Saccharomyces cerevisiae S288C: one gene and its partners. The gene in region 4 interacts genetically with the main gene of each other region. Each region holds a gene or a part of one and is shown on either strand. Other genes may lie near its edges.

What was found.
Region 1: mutations in SLX5 (region 4) and LSM1 together harm fitness more than expected from each alone (negative genetic interaction), as found in Saccharomyces cerevisiae (6 studies listed by BioGRID, with this or other methods).
Region 2: mutations in SLX5 (region 4) and ARP6 together harm fitness more than expected from each alone (negative genetic interaction), as found in Saccharomyces cerevisiae (5 studies listed by BioGRID, with this or other methods).
Region 3: mutations in SLX5 (region 4) and NUP60 together harm fitness more than expected from each alone (negative genetic interaction), as found in Saccharomyces cerevisiae (6 studies listed by BioGRID, with this or other methods).

The regions. Positions count from the first base shown.
Region 1 is NC_001142.9:185,989-189,569, forward strand, and holds LSM1 (Lsm1p), read right to left. Parts: upstream 1,657-3,581; coding exon 1,138-1,656; downstream 1-1,137. Other genes in the region: tRNA 1-methyladenosine methyltransferase subunit GCD14, read right to left, coding at 1-691; DUF5427 domain-containing protein MTC1, read right to left, coding at 2,016-3,452. UniProt on the Saccharomyces cerevisiae protein: Component of the cytoplasmic LSM1-LSM7 complex which is involved in mRNA degradation by activating the decapping step.
Region 2 is NC_001144.5:299,615-304,202, forward strand, and holds ARP6 (Arp6p), read right to left. Parts: upstream 2,376-4,588; coding exon 1,059-2,375; downstream 1-1,058. Other genes in the region: RAX2 (Rax2p), read right to left, coding at 1-637; condensin subunit SMC4, read left to right, coding at 2,629-4,588. UniProt on the Saccharomyces cerevisiae protein: Component of the SWR1 complex which mediates the ATP-dependent exchange of histone H2A for the H2A variant HZT1 leading to transcriptional regulation of selected genes by chromatin remodeling. Involved in chromosome stability.
Region 3 is NC_001133.9:150,688-154,838, reverse strand, and holds NUP60 (FG-nucleoporin NUP60), read right to left. Parts: upstream 2,583-4,151; coding exon 963-2,582; downstream 1-962. Other genes in the region: ERP1 (Erp1p), read left to right, coding at 115-774; transcription factor TFIIIC subunit TFC3, read left to right, coding at 3,673-3,742, 3,833-4,151. UniProt on the Saccharomyces cerevisiae protein: Functions as a component of the nuclear pore complex (NPC).
Region 4 is NC_001136.10:426,776-432,057, forward strand, and holds SLX5 (SUMO-targeted ubiquitin ligase complex subunit SLX5), read left to right. Parts: upstream 1-2,291; coding exon 2,292-4,151; downstream 4,152-5,282. Other genes in the region: trans-2-enoyl-CoA reductase (NADPH) TSC13, read right to left, coding at 1-159; rRNA methyltransferase NOP1, read left to right, coding at 589-1,572; YDL012C (uncharacterized protein), read right to left, coding at 4,333-4,611, 4,698-4,742. UniProt on the Saccharomyces cerevisiae protein: Component of the SUMO-targeted ubiquitin ligase (STUbL) complex SLX5/SLX8 that mediates ubiquitination and subsequent desumoylation of sumoylated proteins and proteins containing SUMO-like domains for their degradation.

The DNA of each region.
Region 1 (3,581 bases), on a different chromosome or scaffold from region 4:
GGGAGAAGCAACACAATCCGACCTTTTCGTCTACGGAAATAACAGAATCCAGATGAGGTATAGCATCCCAGGGAGCCGGCAGATCTAAAAACACTACATTTGCATTCAATGAAGCGGCGGTTTCATTATTGCCAAATTCGTAAGATGTAGTGTCTCCCTTCTTTATAAGAAATCCACCTTGGCAAACATCCCGATGTGTAATCGTAACGTTATCATCAATAAGTCCATGCTCTTTGAATTCCTCTAATGCTTGTTCGTATCTTATGTGATGAAATTCAAAACTAAAAAGATGACCTACAGATCTTGCAAAAGCGTGCGAAAATGATCCTGAGCCTGTACCTGCCTCGATCACTCTGCTGTGAGGGCTACAATTCAACCTTTGCATGATGTAGGAAGAGTCGGGCGTATATACAATTTGAGTTCTGTGTGGTAACGACAAAGTCCACAATTCAGGAGTTGGTTGCAGAACATGGACGAATGCAAACTTATTTGAGCCCTTTGTTCTTATAGCAATTTGAGAACCATAAGGTTTACCTATGATATCCTTATGAGGAAATGAACCATAACGAGTATTGAATACCTCTTCGGAATGCATCCTTACCGGTTTGATGTTATCTCTAGAAACCCATATTAGAGTTAAATCGCCTTCCTTGATGAGGTCTTTGTAACCGGAAAAACAATTTGTTGACATTTCTAAATCTGCGTAATCTTAGCTACCTGATAGTCCCACCCCGATCTTATTCACATATATTTTCTATATACTTTAAACAGTTTTAAAAGTGATGAGCATGGAAAAAAATTCGTTGCTAACGGCATGGCATAAACAAAAAGCGAAAAAATTTTATAGATAATAATAAAGAAAAAGTATCAATAGCATGAGTGTTAATGTTATAACGAAGTGTAAGAGGAAAAAGAATGCTGCGCAAATACGTTACTTCATAAAAAAACTCAAGTACTGTATATATTTTACATTTAAATATATTAATTTATATACAAATACGGCCTCCTCTCTTGCATTTTTTTTATTGTTCCATCTCCAAAGGCAGTTGATTAAGTGTACGGATAGGTAAAACTGAATGTGGAAATTTTTGAGAGTTTACTCCAGGATATATGTTGGTAGTATTGTGTTTTTCTTTCTTAGTACATGTCAGATTTATGGAAATCGTAAACGATACCATGGCGGGCCATTTTTTTACCTTTGTGGGTTTCCTCTTTAAACCTTTTCTCATCATTTTTTTGCTTGGTCAGCCAAGCCTCCTTAAATGGTATGCGTTCCATGGCCTCAAGGGGTTGATCTTCTTTATCGATGTCTACTTCGCCTAACATGACAACATTTTCACCACGAATCATGAATATGCCGCGGTCTTCTTCAGCGTATTTGTTTTCTTCGCTAAAATATATTCTCTCCACGCAATCTTGAAGTATCAAATTTGCATATTGGTCAAAGGTTCTTAGTACACCGAATAGCATTCTTCCATCACGCAAAAGAACGAAGATTTTACGGTCTACTGAGCTTACAATAGCAGCGGTGGTAGTGAAGTTATACTGGTCGAGATATAAATCGGCCTCACCTTCTGAAATCTTCTTTGGGAAATTCTGCTGTTGTCGCTTCGCATCCTGATTGGACTGATTTCTGTCCTTGCTATTTGCAGACATTTTTGGTGAATTAATTCGATTCGAGGGCTGCTTTCTTTTATAGGTTTTGAAAGCGGAGCAAATGTTGGTATAACTCTACTGCAGCGTTGGCAATCCTGTTGAAAAGGAAAAGAAAATATAACTAAACTGTGTTACTTGTATCTTCACTAATATTTAATCAGCCCTTGGTCATACAGGCTTCCCCTAGATTGAAATACAGGTGCTGAACACCGTTGTATATTCACGACTTCCTCTATTTTTTTCATATTTTCCATTATTCAACGAACGCGGGTAACAAGTCGGCCGAATTTGAACCCACTCCTCTGCGCTTGTAACTTTATACATCATCGTTACGCTATAAATGTTATGTATTAAGTGTATCAAAGACCCATACGGTCAATGACATAATTCTGTGCCATGACCCCAAATGACAAGCTTAATCCATCTTCGATCCATTCCTTTACCCATTCACTAGGATCAATGATCTCATCGTCTTCGTCTTCGTCTTCACTTTCTTTTTGTTTCTTTTGATCGTATGACTTATTCCTCTCCTCACTTGCTGTTGATCCTGTTTTCTCCACGGATCCTTCTAGCCAATTGACCCATTTGACAGGGAATCCTTGTGATCTTGTTATGGTGGTAATATCGTTAGTTATGTCTTTCAATACAAGGGTGAAATTGAAATTGCCTGGCGTATTGGAGTCGGTCACTTGAAAGTCACCGTCGGCATCTTTTTGTTTTTGCGGAATGGCAATTGGTAAGATGGATATGAATAAATCACTGATTTTATTGCTGTTACTGCTAATAGAACTCCTATCGTCATCTGGAGTGGCATCAGCCTCTTTCTGTTGTTTCTGGTATTCCTCATGTGCAGTATTGAAGAGTTTGACTGCATTTTCCAGGTTTGCAAATGCCAGTTTCTCACCGTCTGTTACCTTGCCGTCGAATAGATTAAACTGTAATTTTTTTTTAGAGTTGCCTAACTCACCGTCTGCAACTGAAGGCTTTTTTTCCACAGGTGTAATTCCATTATTGTTAGGATGGCCCCATTCATCTACAAATATTCTGATTCCTCCCTCAACTTGTGAGCTTAGAACTTGATCAAACTTGCTTTCAATATTGTATTGTAATGAGGGATAGTTAACCAAATCATGGACTAGATGAATTCGCAGCACCTCTTCAGTCTCACCAACAACGATTTTCTGTAAGTTTCTGGCTATTTCAGTAATCGTGCTCGTGTTTATCTTTGAAGTCAAATCAAGCTGTTCTTGGGCAAGTCGGTTTTTGATCTGGGATGCTTGTTCTGCAGTTTTATTCCAAATACTCGATACCTTTGCGGATCCAGAGGAGGACCACCAGTTTGAAATAGAAGCAATTGGGTCATGCAATGGGGTCTCCTCCTCCTCCTCTTCTTCTTCTTCTTCTTCCTCCTCTTCTTCTTCTTTCTCCTGCTGCTGTGGTTCCTTTTCCTTTCCGTGAGCGTCCTGCTCGGAATTTTTGTTTTCTTTTGATTCTTCTACTTTTTCGTCTTGTGCTTTATTATTAACTGATTCACTGGGAGCCTTCTTTTCAACCCCTTTCTTGTCAGTTAAGCTTAAGTTACTCTTCTCCAACTCTTCTAAGAATTCAAAGATATCATCGTCACCTTTCTTTCCATCATTCCCGGTCTTGCCCGCCACAGAATTAGAACCTCCCTTAACGCCTTCTTGGCTACCCTTTACGTCAGTATTAACCATTTTCCCGCCATTCTTTGCTTCTGGCAAAGAATCTAAAAATTCAAATACGTCTTCAGCCTCAGAGTTCTTATTTTCAGACATTTTGCCCTGGTAGTATGTATGTTTTTAATCGATTGAGTCTAGTTAACCTGTCCCTTGTTCTATTCTTCACCGTCTCGTCCAACTTCCATCAAAGAACCAGAAACCAGAAAATCGCCGGTTTCTTCCACG
Region 2 (4,588 bases), on a different chromosome or scaffold from region 4:
TGTCATTATTTAGCTTGACTATGGAATTCACACTGGAGTTTTCACCAAACCCTCCAAAAGGTAAAAGTTGGGTGGTATTTGATATGGAGTCCCAAATGAGAGCACTATAGCCCGTCATGGAGCCATTATTATATGAAAAGTTTCCTCCAAAATAGATAGAAGAATTGTCTGCGAGCACAGCCTGAACAGCTCCCAAAGACTGGTTGAATATAGGCGTCATAGACAGTGTCGACAAATTGTATAATATCTGGTTTCCGACAGAGATATTGTTTATCGTGCCTGATCCGCTAAGAATAAACGAATCAACGCCAAATGGTGTAATTTTGTCTATTCGAGTATCATCAGAGGCATCTTCCAACTGGATATAGGTGTTGTTAGAGTAATAAACTAATCCATGTGAGCTTGTTTCTGGACCTATTTCTTTAGTGAAATTTTGTTGGCCTGTGTACTCGTAAAAAGATAAGGCGTCCACACCCCCGAGGATTTGTACTGCGTTGCTATTATTTTGCGATATATTCAAATTCGGTAGCACATTATCTTCGATGTCCAGAAGAGATTTAATATTCTCCAACTGTGATGCCTTCGATATCTCCACAAGAAAAGGAAATGCGAGTGTCCAGAGACGATGAACAAACATTTAATTTCTATATCGTAACGAAGAACAGGTGTATTTTGATCGTTTTCTCTTGCGTTTCTTCGTTTCCCGGTCAATCAACTGTATAAATATAAAACGAAAATTGTATTATCTTCTCCTACAAAGTCTAGTATGGGGATGATTAAAGCGCACACTTTCCTTCGAGACTTCTGATGATGACATTTCCACATTTCCATATATTTCTTTTTTTGTATCGCGAAAAAATGGGAAGAATGGCGTTTCTAACCACTAAAAAAGAGGAATTTTTGCCTAATTTGGGAATTTGTCAATAAAAATGTAAAACATATGAGATGTATTATTGCCTGCGGAAGATTCTTAAAAACATGACAAAATCCAAATTGAAAATGACCTGAAGGTCTCGACTTTTCGGATTTTCATTGTTGCTATGTAAATCTATAGTTAATTATATCCAATTCTGGTAACCAAACCTGTGCTTCGTACACCAATCGGGACCATGCTCATAGTATTCTTCTCTTGTGACCCTCGCTTTTCGGTAGGAATCTGTCTTTGCAAACTGTGACATCACTTCCCACCCAAACAGAGCACAGTCACCTTCGGGCACCGAAACATGACAAGTCCAATCTGTGGGTAATTGCCTTTGTAGTTCTGCCGCAAGCCGTTGGGCGAAATTGGGCAGATTAAAGTTTCCTCCTGTACATACAATGTTTCCTACCATAAGAGGTCGCACTATTTCGGGCAACATGGAAAGGCTCTCTAGGATGGCCTCCACAATGCCTGGTTTAGTAATTTGCGAAATTTCTGGATGGAAAAAAGTTTCTGGTATTGTGAAAAGCTCATCTGTCAGTGTTATGATCTGCGCATCTTCAGGTAACGGTACATTTTCTTTTCTGGGGTTTCTTACGTAACCAAGAAAGCTTGTTTGGAAGTCAGGAAGTACATATTCTAGTGCATGCTTATCCTTCGTTTTGAAACTATCAAAATAAGACACCGGGCTAACGAACAAGCATTGTTCCTTGATATTGTTAACAAGTATGGTTTCATCCATCATATTGTAGTGTCTGAATGATAGAGTTTCCTTTAGTAGCCCAGTTAGGAAACGGCCTCCAATGTCCAATTTTTTTACCGCTTTATAGTACGGTATTCCCTTCAGGACAGGAATTATCCAAGTACAATTAAACCCGGAATCAATAACTAATTGGAAATCATGATAATCGCTACCTGAATCCTGCGCATTCTTGGACTCGCTTGATGTGGAATTTGTACTGTCTGAGTTGCCACGGACAATATCGATATCTTCGTCCTTACCTGAAATTGTTCTCATTTCACCCTTATATGACTTGGTAAATGGTACAAAGACTGCTACAGGAGACTTGAAAAGACTGTCGAATTCATATTCTTCAAATATCACCTGGTCGGCATGCTTACTTAATTCTGGTAAAGTCATACAGCTCTCGCTAGCAACCAAATGATGACCCTTTCCCTCTTTCAGATCAAACCCATCAAACTCTGAAGGATTGAAAAGGCAATAATCCCATATACAACTCTCTAATTCCCATAATGTGAGCTGTCCTAGTTCATGTGGCCTCCTGAAGGTGATAGATGAAATATCTTTGATGTTTTTGATATGATTTGATAAATACGATGTCCCAAATTTATCTTTGGCCAATGCATTTAAAGCTCGGAACGGTTTCTTATTCGTGGAAGGACCAAACTTGATTTCGTATGAGCCATTATCAATCACAATGGGTGGTGTTTCCATAGTTTAAATTATCTTGTCCACGATTCTGCGCTTCTTCTCCTTTGGTCTTGCATTAATTCTCTTGTTCTTCTTGGCCCATTTTGAAATGCATTTGTAATTATGGACGGAAAGTAAACTGTTTACAATAATCACGAAAATACATATAGGTTTACATTATCTACACACTGGAATCGATTTCATACCATAAAAGAGGCCCTATAAGAAGCCGCATCACCTTAAACACTAACCACGTGCAACCAACAGAATATATTTGATGTCTGATAGTCCATTGAGCAAAAGACAAAAGCGGAAGTCCGCCCAAGAACCAGAATTATCTCTTGATCAAGGTGATGCCGAAGAAGATTCGCAGGTAGAAAACCGAGTTAACCTAAGCGAGAATACACCAGAGCCGGATCTTCCTGCGTTGGAAGCATCTTATTCCAAATCTTATACTCCCAGAAAGCTTGTTTTAAGTTCTGGGGAAAATCGGTATGCCTTTTCTCAACCTACAAACTCAACAACCACGTCATTACATGTACCGAACTTGCAACCACCAAAAACCTCTTCTAGGGGTCGCGACCATAAGTCCTACTCTCAATCACCACCAAGGTCTCCAGGAAGATCGCCAACTAGAAGATTAGAATTGCTCCAGCTTTCGCCAGTGAAAAATAGCAGGGTTGAACTACAAAAAATTTATGATAGGCACCAGTCGTCGAGCAAGCAACAGAGCAGACTATTTATTAACGAACTAGTCTTAGAGAACTTCAAGTCCTACGCTGGTAAACAAGTAGTAGGACCCTTTCATACTAGCTTCTCGGCCGTGGTAGGCCCCAATGGTTCAGGTAAATCAAATGTCATCGATTCCATGTTATTTGTATTTGGATTTAGAGCGAACAAGATGAGACAGGACAGATTGTCGGATTTAATTCATAAATCAGAAGCTTTCCCAAGTTTGCAATCATGTTCCGTAGCTGTACATTTTCAGTACGTTATTGATGAATCTTCGGGTACTTCCCGAATCGATGAAGAAAAACCTGGATTGATCATTACAAGGAAAGCCTTTAAAAACAACTCATCGAAATATTACATAAACGAAAAAGAAAGTAGCTACACAGAGGTGACAAAGCTTTTAAAGAATGAGGGTATTGATTTAGACCATAAACGATTTTTAATTCTACAAGGTGAAGTAGAGAATATTGCTCAAATGAAGCCTAAAGCAGAAAAAGAGAGTGACGACGGACTACTGGAATATCTGGAGGACATAATTGGAACTGCAAACTATAAGCCGTTAATTGAAGAGCGAATGGGACAGATTGAGAATCTAAATGAAGTTTGCCTGGAAAAGGAAAATAGATTTGAAATTGTTGATAGAGAAAAAAACTCTTTAGAGTCAGGGAAAGAAACGGCGTTAGAGTTTTTAGAGAAGGAAAAGCAGCTGACGCTTTTAAGATCAAAATTATTTCAATTTAAATTGTTGCAAAGCAACTCTAAACTTGCCAGCACCTTGGAAAAGATCTCCTCTTCGAATAAAGACCTCGAAGATGAGAAGATGAAATTTCAAGAATCTTTGAAAAAAGTGGATGAGATTAAAGCACAACGTAAGGAAATAAAAGATCGAATATCATCTTGTAGCTCGAAAGAAAAGACCCTGGTTTTAGAAAGAAGAGAATTAGAAGGCACCAGGGTGTCTCTAGAAGAGAGAACAAAAAATTTGGTAAGTAAAATGGAAAAAGCAGAAAAGACTTTGAAATCCACCAAACATTCAATATCGGAGGCCGAGAATATGCTTGAAGAGCTTCGTGGACAACAAACCGAACACGAGACGGAGATCAAAGACTTGACTCAATTGCTGGAAAAGGAACGAAGTATACTTGATGATATTAAACTATCTTTGAAAGATAAAACGAAGAATATATCTGCAGAGATTATTCGGCATGAAAAGGAACTGGAGCCTTGGGACCTCCAACTTCAGGAAAAAGAATCACAGATACAATTGGCTGAATCCGAACTATCTTTGTTGGAGGAAACTCAAGCTAAACTGAAAAAAAACGTTGAAACTTTAGAAGAAAAAATTCTTGCCAAGAAAACACACAAGCAGGAGCTACAAGATCTTATCCTCGATCTGAAAAAGAAGCTGAACTCACTTAAAGATGAAAGGTCGCAAGGTGAAAAGAATTTTACTTCTGCTCATCTAAAGTTAAAAGAAATGCAAAAGGTTTTGAACGCGCATCGCC
Region 3 (4,151 bases), on a different chromosome or scaffold from region 4:
TAATAAGTTGAAAAAAAAAAACACATCAGCAGAAATGTGTACATACAAAACTTACTCTATCTTCCCTCTGTAGTTTGGAAAAGTATTTAAAGGTAACCAATCTCTCTACTAATCATGCTTTTAACCTCTCTTTTACAGGTTTTTGCCTGCTGTCTAGTTTTACCAGCTCAAGTTACTGCGTTCTATTATTATACTTCTGGTGCTGAACGTAAGTGCTTCCACAAGGAATTGTCTAAAGGTACTTTGTTCCAAGCAACTTACAAGGCACAAATTTACGATGACCAATTACAAAATTACAGAGACGCTGGTGCGCAAGATTTTGGTGTCTTGATTGATATTGAGGAAACTTTTGATGATAACCACCTGGTTGTTCATCAGAAAGGTTCAGCAAGTGGTGATTTAACTTTCCTTGCGTCTGATTCGGGTGAACATAAAATCTGTATTCAGCCCGAAGCTGGTGGCTGGTTGATTAAGGCTAAAACGAAGATTGACGTTGAATTCCAAGTGGGCTCTGATGAAAAGTTAGATTCTAAGGGTAAAGCCACTATTGACATTCTACATGCCAAGGTTAACGTCCTAAACTCCAAGATCGGCGAAATTAGAAGAGAGCAAAAATTGATGAGAGATCGTGAAGCTACCTTTAGAGACGCCTCTGAAGCTGTTAATTCTCGTGCTATGTGGTGGATTGTCATTCAATTAATTGTTCTCGCTGTTACTTGTGGCTGGCAAATGAAACACCTGGGCAAATTTTTTGTTAAGCAAAAAATTTTATGATCAGACTAAAAACCTTTTATGTATCTTCTAGAAATTTATAGTTTATAAGAGCCGCTAAAGGTATTCCTTCTTTTTGAGAAAGTGGAAAAAAAATGACTAAATAATATCATCTTGGAATGGTATTTTACACAAACTTACGTATTGAGTTGGGCTATACGGTAATTATGTCACGGCTAAAATTTTCATTATCAAAAGGTATATAGGGACTTGAAAGCCTCAACTTTATTTTCATCAACCAAGCCATTTCCTAGCTGCTTAGACACCACGGGAACATTGAAATCAAACTCTTCCGCCTTTTCCTCTGAAAAGTCGTTATCAATTGAGGCGCTGATATGTTTACCTTCATTATCGTTTTCTTGTGAAAGATTGGACCGTGATTTCTTTTGAACACTATTAAAAACAAAGCCTTTCGATGAACTTTTTTGAGGAGTAACCGAAAGATCTGGTTGGACGGGAGTAGAATCGCCCTTTGTAAGTTCGGTTTTTGGCTTTCCAACTAACGGCTTCGCCTGTAGGTTGGTAAAATTGAATTCCTTTGATGATGCAGATGGTGCGTTCTCGCTCTTATAAGCATTCTCAGTAGGTTCAACGTTTCTTGAAGTATTAAACGAGAAGTTAAAAGCAGAGGATGGAGGTTTATCTCCACCATCCTTCTTTTCAGGTGAGGTTTCAGCTACGACGACATTTGAGCGTAAGGATGAGGACCTTGCAGGTTTGTATTTAGTAAAAGAATCTTTGCTTGGCGCAGATGGTGAAATTTTGGTGGCGTTCAGTTGTTTCATTGGTTCTTCGCCTTGTTCAGGAACGTTTTGAAATAATGGCTTAACAGTAGTTTCTTCTTCACTGATCTCTTGCCTTGGTGCAGCATTTGGAGAAACTCTCTTATGTTTGCGTATTTGGCTTACATATGAGGAGTATGGATTAGCAAGTTCTGAAGCTGCATTATTCTTCTTACTGTCATTTTCATCTAATAGTGAGACCAATGCCGCAGCTGTATTACTTATTTTCTTACTAGGAGCTGACTTTGAAACACCACTTCTTACCGATTTAGCAGATGCTATACTTTGAGCAGATGTGTTGGCTGTGTATGTATCGGGGATCTTTTTCGCTGCACTATATCTATAAACGGTTGTTTTGTATGGTGAGGGCAGGCTAGAATAATTGAAACTGTATTTTCTTGAACCAATGCTTCCCAAAGTCGTATTCATTGACGCATTTGAAGTATCATATTTTGGGTTGAAGGTCGGCGCATTAGATATGCTGATTGGTGTACTTCCTGACTCCTTCAAGATAAGCGACTGGTCGATATTATTACCTTCGGCTGATTTTTGTTCTCCTTCCGAAGTTATCATGGATTTGCTTGATTTTTGTAACAATGACATCACACCCTCTATTTCAATTTCTGATAAAGGCTCATTACCTTTTTTACTAAAAAAGTTTGCAAGCTTTGCATTGGAGATGTTAGTTTCATGTGTTTCATCATACTCCTCTTCTTTATTCTCAATGTCGTTTCTGGCTTCACCCACTGCAGAAACAACTACGGAACGGTTTACAGTAGAATCTGGGGATATCTCAGAATGGAAATAACCTCCAGGCATACTTGAGATTCTTCTGTTAAAAGACTCATTGCGTGGTTGTTTATTAGCAACATTATTCCTTGGACTCACTCTGGCTGAATCTTTTTGGGTAAAGAAAGTTTTAATTTTAGAGAAAAGGCTTGGTTTATTGTGTGCATTGCTAATAATCTGCTTTCGATAGGGAGCGGAAGGCACAGTAGCGCTAGCCCTCCTCAATGATTTACGATGCATTGGATGTCGATTTTAGGATATCTTGCGGTGCTTATTTGATGTAAAGGTCTGTTATTTGATGTTTAAAAGTACACATTACAATAAGCTTTCACTTGTAAATATATCTTTTATTTTCCGAGAGGAAAAAGTTTCAAAAAAAAAAAAAAAAAAAGAAGAAAAATAACTTTCTCATGTAATAAAAGGTAACTAATGTAGACAAAAAAGTATACATTTAGCTTTTCTTTTTTTGATGATTTTTGAGTTTCATGTTACTAATCAGAACAATTAACGACACCTTCATTATGAAAAAATTAATTAGCTATAAGTCTTCGAAGTAGAACATGATATTTGGCAATCACTCGAATAACTATCTTAATTTACCTGCTGAAATAATTTGAAAAAACACCCGAGGCAGCAGACGAAAGGTGTTTTTGCTAAACAATGATTGATTTCTGGCGCCATTTCTACATTCTGAACAGTTCATCTCATTTCAGTAACAGTACTTCAATGGAATATTTATTAAAGAAAGTGCTTAAAAAAGTATTATAAAACGATACATGGACTGACTCAAGATTGAGCTAATAAGGTCCACCGCCTAGTGCTTAAGAGTTCTGTACCACTATAATAATTTATCTTGATCGTATTATGTGTAAAAAAAAGGCGCTTGAAATGAAAGCTCCGAAAATTAAAATACTTTGACTGCTTCGGAAAACAAAAACATATAAATAAATTTAAAAAATAAACTGTAAAATATTTAAAAACTATTAAAAATATTTTATATTTTTAAAATTATTTATTATTATGTCATGTGACAAGACTTAAATCATTACATAAAAGGTTTTGAAGTTCAATGTCAAAGTCAATATAATAAGCATACTAAGGCACACTTATGCAAATCGAGTTATTGAAGCTGGTAAAATTATAAGATTTTTATTTTTATTTCTTTTATTTCTGCAAATCTGCATTTTCAAATACCGCTTGGTTTTTTGCATCATAAAGGGCGGCGCTTTCAGTCGCGAAAGTGAAATAAACAACCAGTCACACATATAACTTTCTTCTTGCCATAAGAGAGAAGAGGACGTTTGGTTGAAGCCAACTAGCCACAAGAAAAATGGTACTGACGATTTATCCTGACGAACTCGTACAAATAGTGTCTGATAAAATTGCTTCAAATAAGGGAAGTATGTTCATGTCTCATTCTCCTTTTCGGCTCCGTTTAGGTGATAAACGTACTATATTGTGAAAGATTATTTACTAACGACACATTGAAGAAATCACTTTGAATCAGCTGTGGGATATATCTGGTAAATATTTTGATTTGTCTGATAAAAAAGTTAAACAGTTCGTGCTTTCATGCGTGATATTGAAAAAGGACATTGAGGTGTATTGTGATGGTGCTATAACAACTAAAAATGTGACTGATATTATAGGCGACGCTAATCATTCATACTCGGTTGGGATTACTGAGGACAGCCTATGGACATTATTAACGGGATACACAAAAAAGGAGTCAACTATTGGAAATTCTGCATTTGAACTACTTCTCGAAGTTGCCAAATCAGGAGAAAAAGGGATCAATACTATGGATTT
Region 4 (5,282 bases):
TTTAGATTCCTTTTTGTAGGTTAATCTTATCCTGTACTTGCTGATATTGTGGTTATTAGCAGAGATTTTTTTCAAAACATCATCTAAAGTAGGCTTTTTGGATAAGTCAATTTCAGTGTCCCTTAACCCTTTAGAGCGGCTTTTTATGGTGATAGGCATTTTCAAATTAAATTCAAAATATGTATCTCTCTCAAATAGCTCAATTGGTTTCTAGATAGCTAAATAGAATATAATCTTACTGTCCTCCGTTCTGTAAAATTCACGCTCTTAGTCCCTTTTCATAATTCCTTAACTTTTTGCGTACAAAATGATATGTTTATTATATTTTTCTTTTTTTTTTTTCAAATTTTTTCTTTTTCTTGAAAAATTTTTCAAATTGGAAAGCTCATCTCTCTTGAATGTATAATACTTTCTTCCTCTAACTTTCAAAAAGTTTTACATAGCCAAGAAGTTTTCCTTACATCGGTATACTACTGTTATATAAGTTATTCTTCGAGAAACAATTAGATATCATTCATCGGATAAATCTAAGTTGCCCATTGCTTTCAATAACTCCGATCAAATTAACTCAAATCAACTAAAACAGTAATGTCATTCAGACCAGGTAGCAGAGGTGGTTCCCGTGGAGGTTCCAGAGGTGGCTTCGGTGGTAGAGGCGGTTCCCGTGGTGGTGCTCGCGGTGGTTCCAGAGGTGGCTTCGGTGGTAGAGGCGGTTCTCGTGGTGGTGCCCGTGGTGGTTCCAGAGGCGGCTTCGGTGGTAGAGGCGGTTCTCGTGGTGGTGCCCGTGGTGGCTCCAGAGGTGGTAGAGGTGGCGCTGCTGGTGGTGCCCGTGGTGGTGCCAAGGTCGTTATTGAACCACATAGACATGCCGGTGTTTACATTGCTAGAGGTAAAGAAGATTTGCTAGTTACCAAGAACATGGCCCCAGGTGAATCAGTTTATGGTGAAAAGAGAATCTCCGTTGAAGAACCATCTAAGGAAGATGGTGTCCCACCAACCAAGGTCGAATACCGTGTATGGAACCCATTCAGATCTAAGTTGGCTGCCGGTATTATGGGTGGTCTAGATGAATTATTTATTGCCCCAGGCAAGAAAGTTTTATATTTAGGTGCTGCTTCCGGTACTTCTGTTTCTCACGTTTCAGATGTTGTTGGTCCAGAAGGTGTTGTCTACGCCGTAGAATTTTCTCACAGACCAGGCAGAGAATTGATTTCTATGGCAAAGAAGAGACCTAATATCATCCCAATCATTGAAGATGCTAGACACCCACAAAAATACAGAATGTTGATTGGTATGGTTGACTGTGTCTTCGCAGATGTTGCCCAGCCTGATCAAGCTCGTATTATTGCATTGAACTCTCATATGTTCTTGAAGGACCAAGGTGGTGTTGTTATCTCCATTAAGGCTAACTGTATTGATTCTACTGTAGACGCGGAAACCGTTTTTGCTAGAGAAGTTCAAAAGTTACGTGAGGAACGTATTAAGCCATTAGAACAATTGACTTTAGAGCCATATGAAAGAGACCATTGTATCGTCGTTGGTAGATACATGAGAAGCGGTTTGAAGAAATAAGTTGAATAAAGGAAATTAGTCAAAAGTTTCTGGTAGCTTGCTCAATTATTAGCAGAATAATTGTTTCGTTTATATATATTTCCCCCATTCAGTTTCACTTCCTATTTGAAGTTTTTGTAACCCTCGACTTTGTAAAATAGATATTACTAAATTCTTTTAGAGAACAAAAGTATTGTACGTATTCGCCATATAAAAAAAAAAGAGTATATGTGGTGACTTTTTGGTCATTAATTGTTAAGAGCAAGCAAGTAGAAATCATAATCATATTTCGAGTTTTTTAAAGGTAGGAACAATATCGATAAGCTGTTCTCCAGTCTCGACACTGTTTGATGACCATATATCATTAATTCTTGTAACACTACATCATAGATTTCTCTTTATCCTTGGATTGAATCTGAAAAAATTTTGATAGAGTCTTTTGTTCAAAGTGTCACTTCTTCATCTGTCACTCTTACGTATTTTTTTTTTTTTGGCTTTGCCCATAAGAAACATCACTGTATACGCAAGGTCGCAATATTTACTATTTAACATGGATGAGAGGCAGTGTGCGACCAAAACGAAGACTTAATCATTAAGAAGAGCGTGTGTTGCGTTGATTGGTAATAACCAAGTCGAAATTTGCACTAGGAGCTTCAGTCTAGGAGTGAACTTTTGAAAAGATTTCAGTCCAAAAATTATTATTTGGAACGCGGAGCTCCTCTAATAGTCGAAATAATAGAATGCATAGCGATACTAACGGTCGAACAAAGAGCAATAATAGCCCATCAGACAATAATCCAAATGAGACAGTTATATTAATAGATAGTGATAAGGAAGAAGACGCTTCTATTCGCGAGGCTAACCTTCCTGTGAGGTTGTACCCAGACAGACGGGTAGGGAGACGACGTGATGCTTTAAATAGGTTTGTGAGGTCAGATTCAAGGAGCAGGAATTCTCAACGGACTCACATAACAGCAAGCTCTGAGCGCCCTGATTTTCAAGCTAATAACGACGATATCACTATAATACGAGAAGTTGGACGGTTTTTTGGAGACGATGGACCTATTGATCCTTCTGCACATTACGTCGATCTTGATCAGGAGCCAGGTTCTGAAACGTTAGAAACTCCAAGAACAATACAAGTAGATAACACAAACGGGTACTTGAATGATAATGGTAATAACAATGAAAGTGATGATGGCCTGACAATAGTTGAAGAGAGAACAACACGACCCAGAGTGACACTGAACCTGCCAGGCGGGGAGAGGCTTGAGGTAACTGCGACGACAACAGACATACCGATAAGAAGGTCATTTGAATTCCAAGAAGATCTAGGCGCATCACGCAGGCAGTTACTGAGAAGGAGTGCTACAAGAGCCCGTAATTTATTTGTGGACCGGTCTGATGAAAACGATGAAGATTGGACAGATGATACCCATAATTTACCAGAAGCTATTCAAAGGGCTCGTAGGGAGAGCCGTATGCGAATGAGCAGACGGATTGCAGAAAGACAACGTAGGGTACAACAGCAAAGGGTGTCCAGTGACGAAAATATAAGTACATCTATTAGGTTACAATCAATCAGGGAACGAATACAATCATATACGCCTGATATTCGTAGTGCTTTTCATCGTGCAGAGTCACTGCATGAATTCAGGTCTATTTTACAAAATGTTGCTCCAATTACTTTGCAAGAATGTGAAGAAGAACTAATGGCACTCTTCACTGAGTTCAGAAATCAACTGCTGCAGAATTGGGCCATTGATAGGGTCAGAAATACTCAGGAAGAGGCCTTGAGACTTCACCGAGAAGCATTGGAAAGACAAGAAAGAACGGCAGGAAGAGTTTTCCATCGTGGCACATTACGTGAATCAATCACAAACTATCTTAATTTCAATGGAGAGGATGGGTTCTTAAGTCGTTTGTGGAGTGGCCCAGCATTGAGCGATGCTGACGAGGAACGACACACTCAAAATATCATTGATATGATCCAAGAGAGAGAAGAACGAGAGCGGGATGTGGTCATGAAGAATCTAATGAACAAAACCAGAGCCCAACAGGAAGAATTCGAAGCTAGGGCAGCCAGCCTACCCGAAGGTTATAGCGCGTCATTTGATACTACGCCAAAAATGAAATTAGACATTACGAAAAATGGTAAAGAAGAAACCATCATTGTGACAGATGACGATTTAGCAAAAACACTCGAGGATATTCCTGTTTGTTGCTTGTGTGGCGCAGAATTGGGGGTCGGAATACCGGATGATTTTACTGGAATCAGTCAAAAGGATCGTGGTGTTTCATTTGAAGGGTTAGTGTCAAAATACAAATTCCACTGCCCCTACCAAACCCTAGCCAGACCATCAATGCTTGATAGAGATTTATCAAAACGAACGTTTATTGCATCGTGTGGTCATGCATTTTGTGGTAGGTGTTTCGCCAGGATTGACAATGCAAAAAAAAAATCTAAGATGCCCAAAAAGAAACTAGCTCAACTAAAGGGTTCGGCTCATCCGGATAATTATGGCCCCAAATTATGTCCCGCAGATTCTTGTAAGAAGCTTATTCGTTCAAGAGGCAGGTTGAAGGAGGTTTACTTCTAGCACGCGGTTTAATTTTTATAAGGGCATTTTCGAACTTATCATCATTATATATTATCTACTTGCATGAACACTTTAATCACGCTTATTTAATTAAGATTAAAAGATCAGAGGTGCAATTGTGCTTTGTTTTATATAGTGGATTTGTGTGAAAGGGTTTGCTCCCACAAGATATGGAGATACTCTAAAACAGCATATCCAAAGTACAGCATAAACATAAACCCGCTAGACAGCCCGCTAGACAGTCTTCATTTCCAGAACTGGCCGGTTGTTGTTGGACATAAATGGGCTGCTGTGGGTGTTGTTGGTAATATTGGGGCTGCTGTTGCTGATAGTATTGAGGTTGTTGCTGATACTGCTGCTGCTGCTGTTGAGGTGGATAATAGTTCTGTTGGCTTTGCGATGGAGCGTAACCTCTAGACGCCGTTTCATATCCTGGTGGTGGAGCGCTAGGACGAGAATACTGAATCGAAAGTGATGTAATGAAAATACAAGGGCTCGTTAGTACGATGTGATCTTCTAAAGGCAAAACTTGTAAAATTAACGTACGCTTTGTTTGGAGGCAGAGTTTCCGTAATAATCTTGAGCTGACATGAGATGTGTATTTGCTTGGTTTATGGGCTATTGTATGGGTTTGTCTTAATATCCTTTTCGGTTGCGTAAATACTTTTTATATTTCAATATTTCACGATGCCGCTGATAGCATCGTTTAATACGAAAACTTCGAGCCATTTACCAAGAAATATTCTGGACTAGGTGGAAGGAAGCTTCGAGAACTCACCGTGGCTATTCAAGGCTGATGGACATATGTACTGGGCTGAGCTTAAGATCTCCCATTACTGCTCCGTGGGGTTTTATGTGAAATGTGGCGTTTCAGCAGTTTTTAGTTGGCTAATTTCCTAAAAGTAGTAATTAGTTTCTTATGATGGATTTAATGGCGTAGTTCATCCGCGTTTAATTTAACTAGAGGATAATCTACTTGCAGCATGAATGAAAATAGTAAGCCAGTAAGGATGCACTGACAGACTCAGCTACCGATTAGTGTTGTTGACTTTTCCGCAAGATCCTTTTCTCCCTCTTTGGACCTAGTCATCCCTCCACACAAGATTCGCTCTTAAGTAGTGGCGCAGGCTG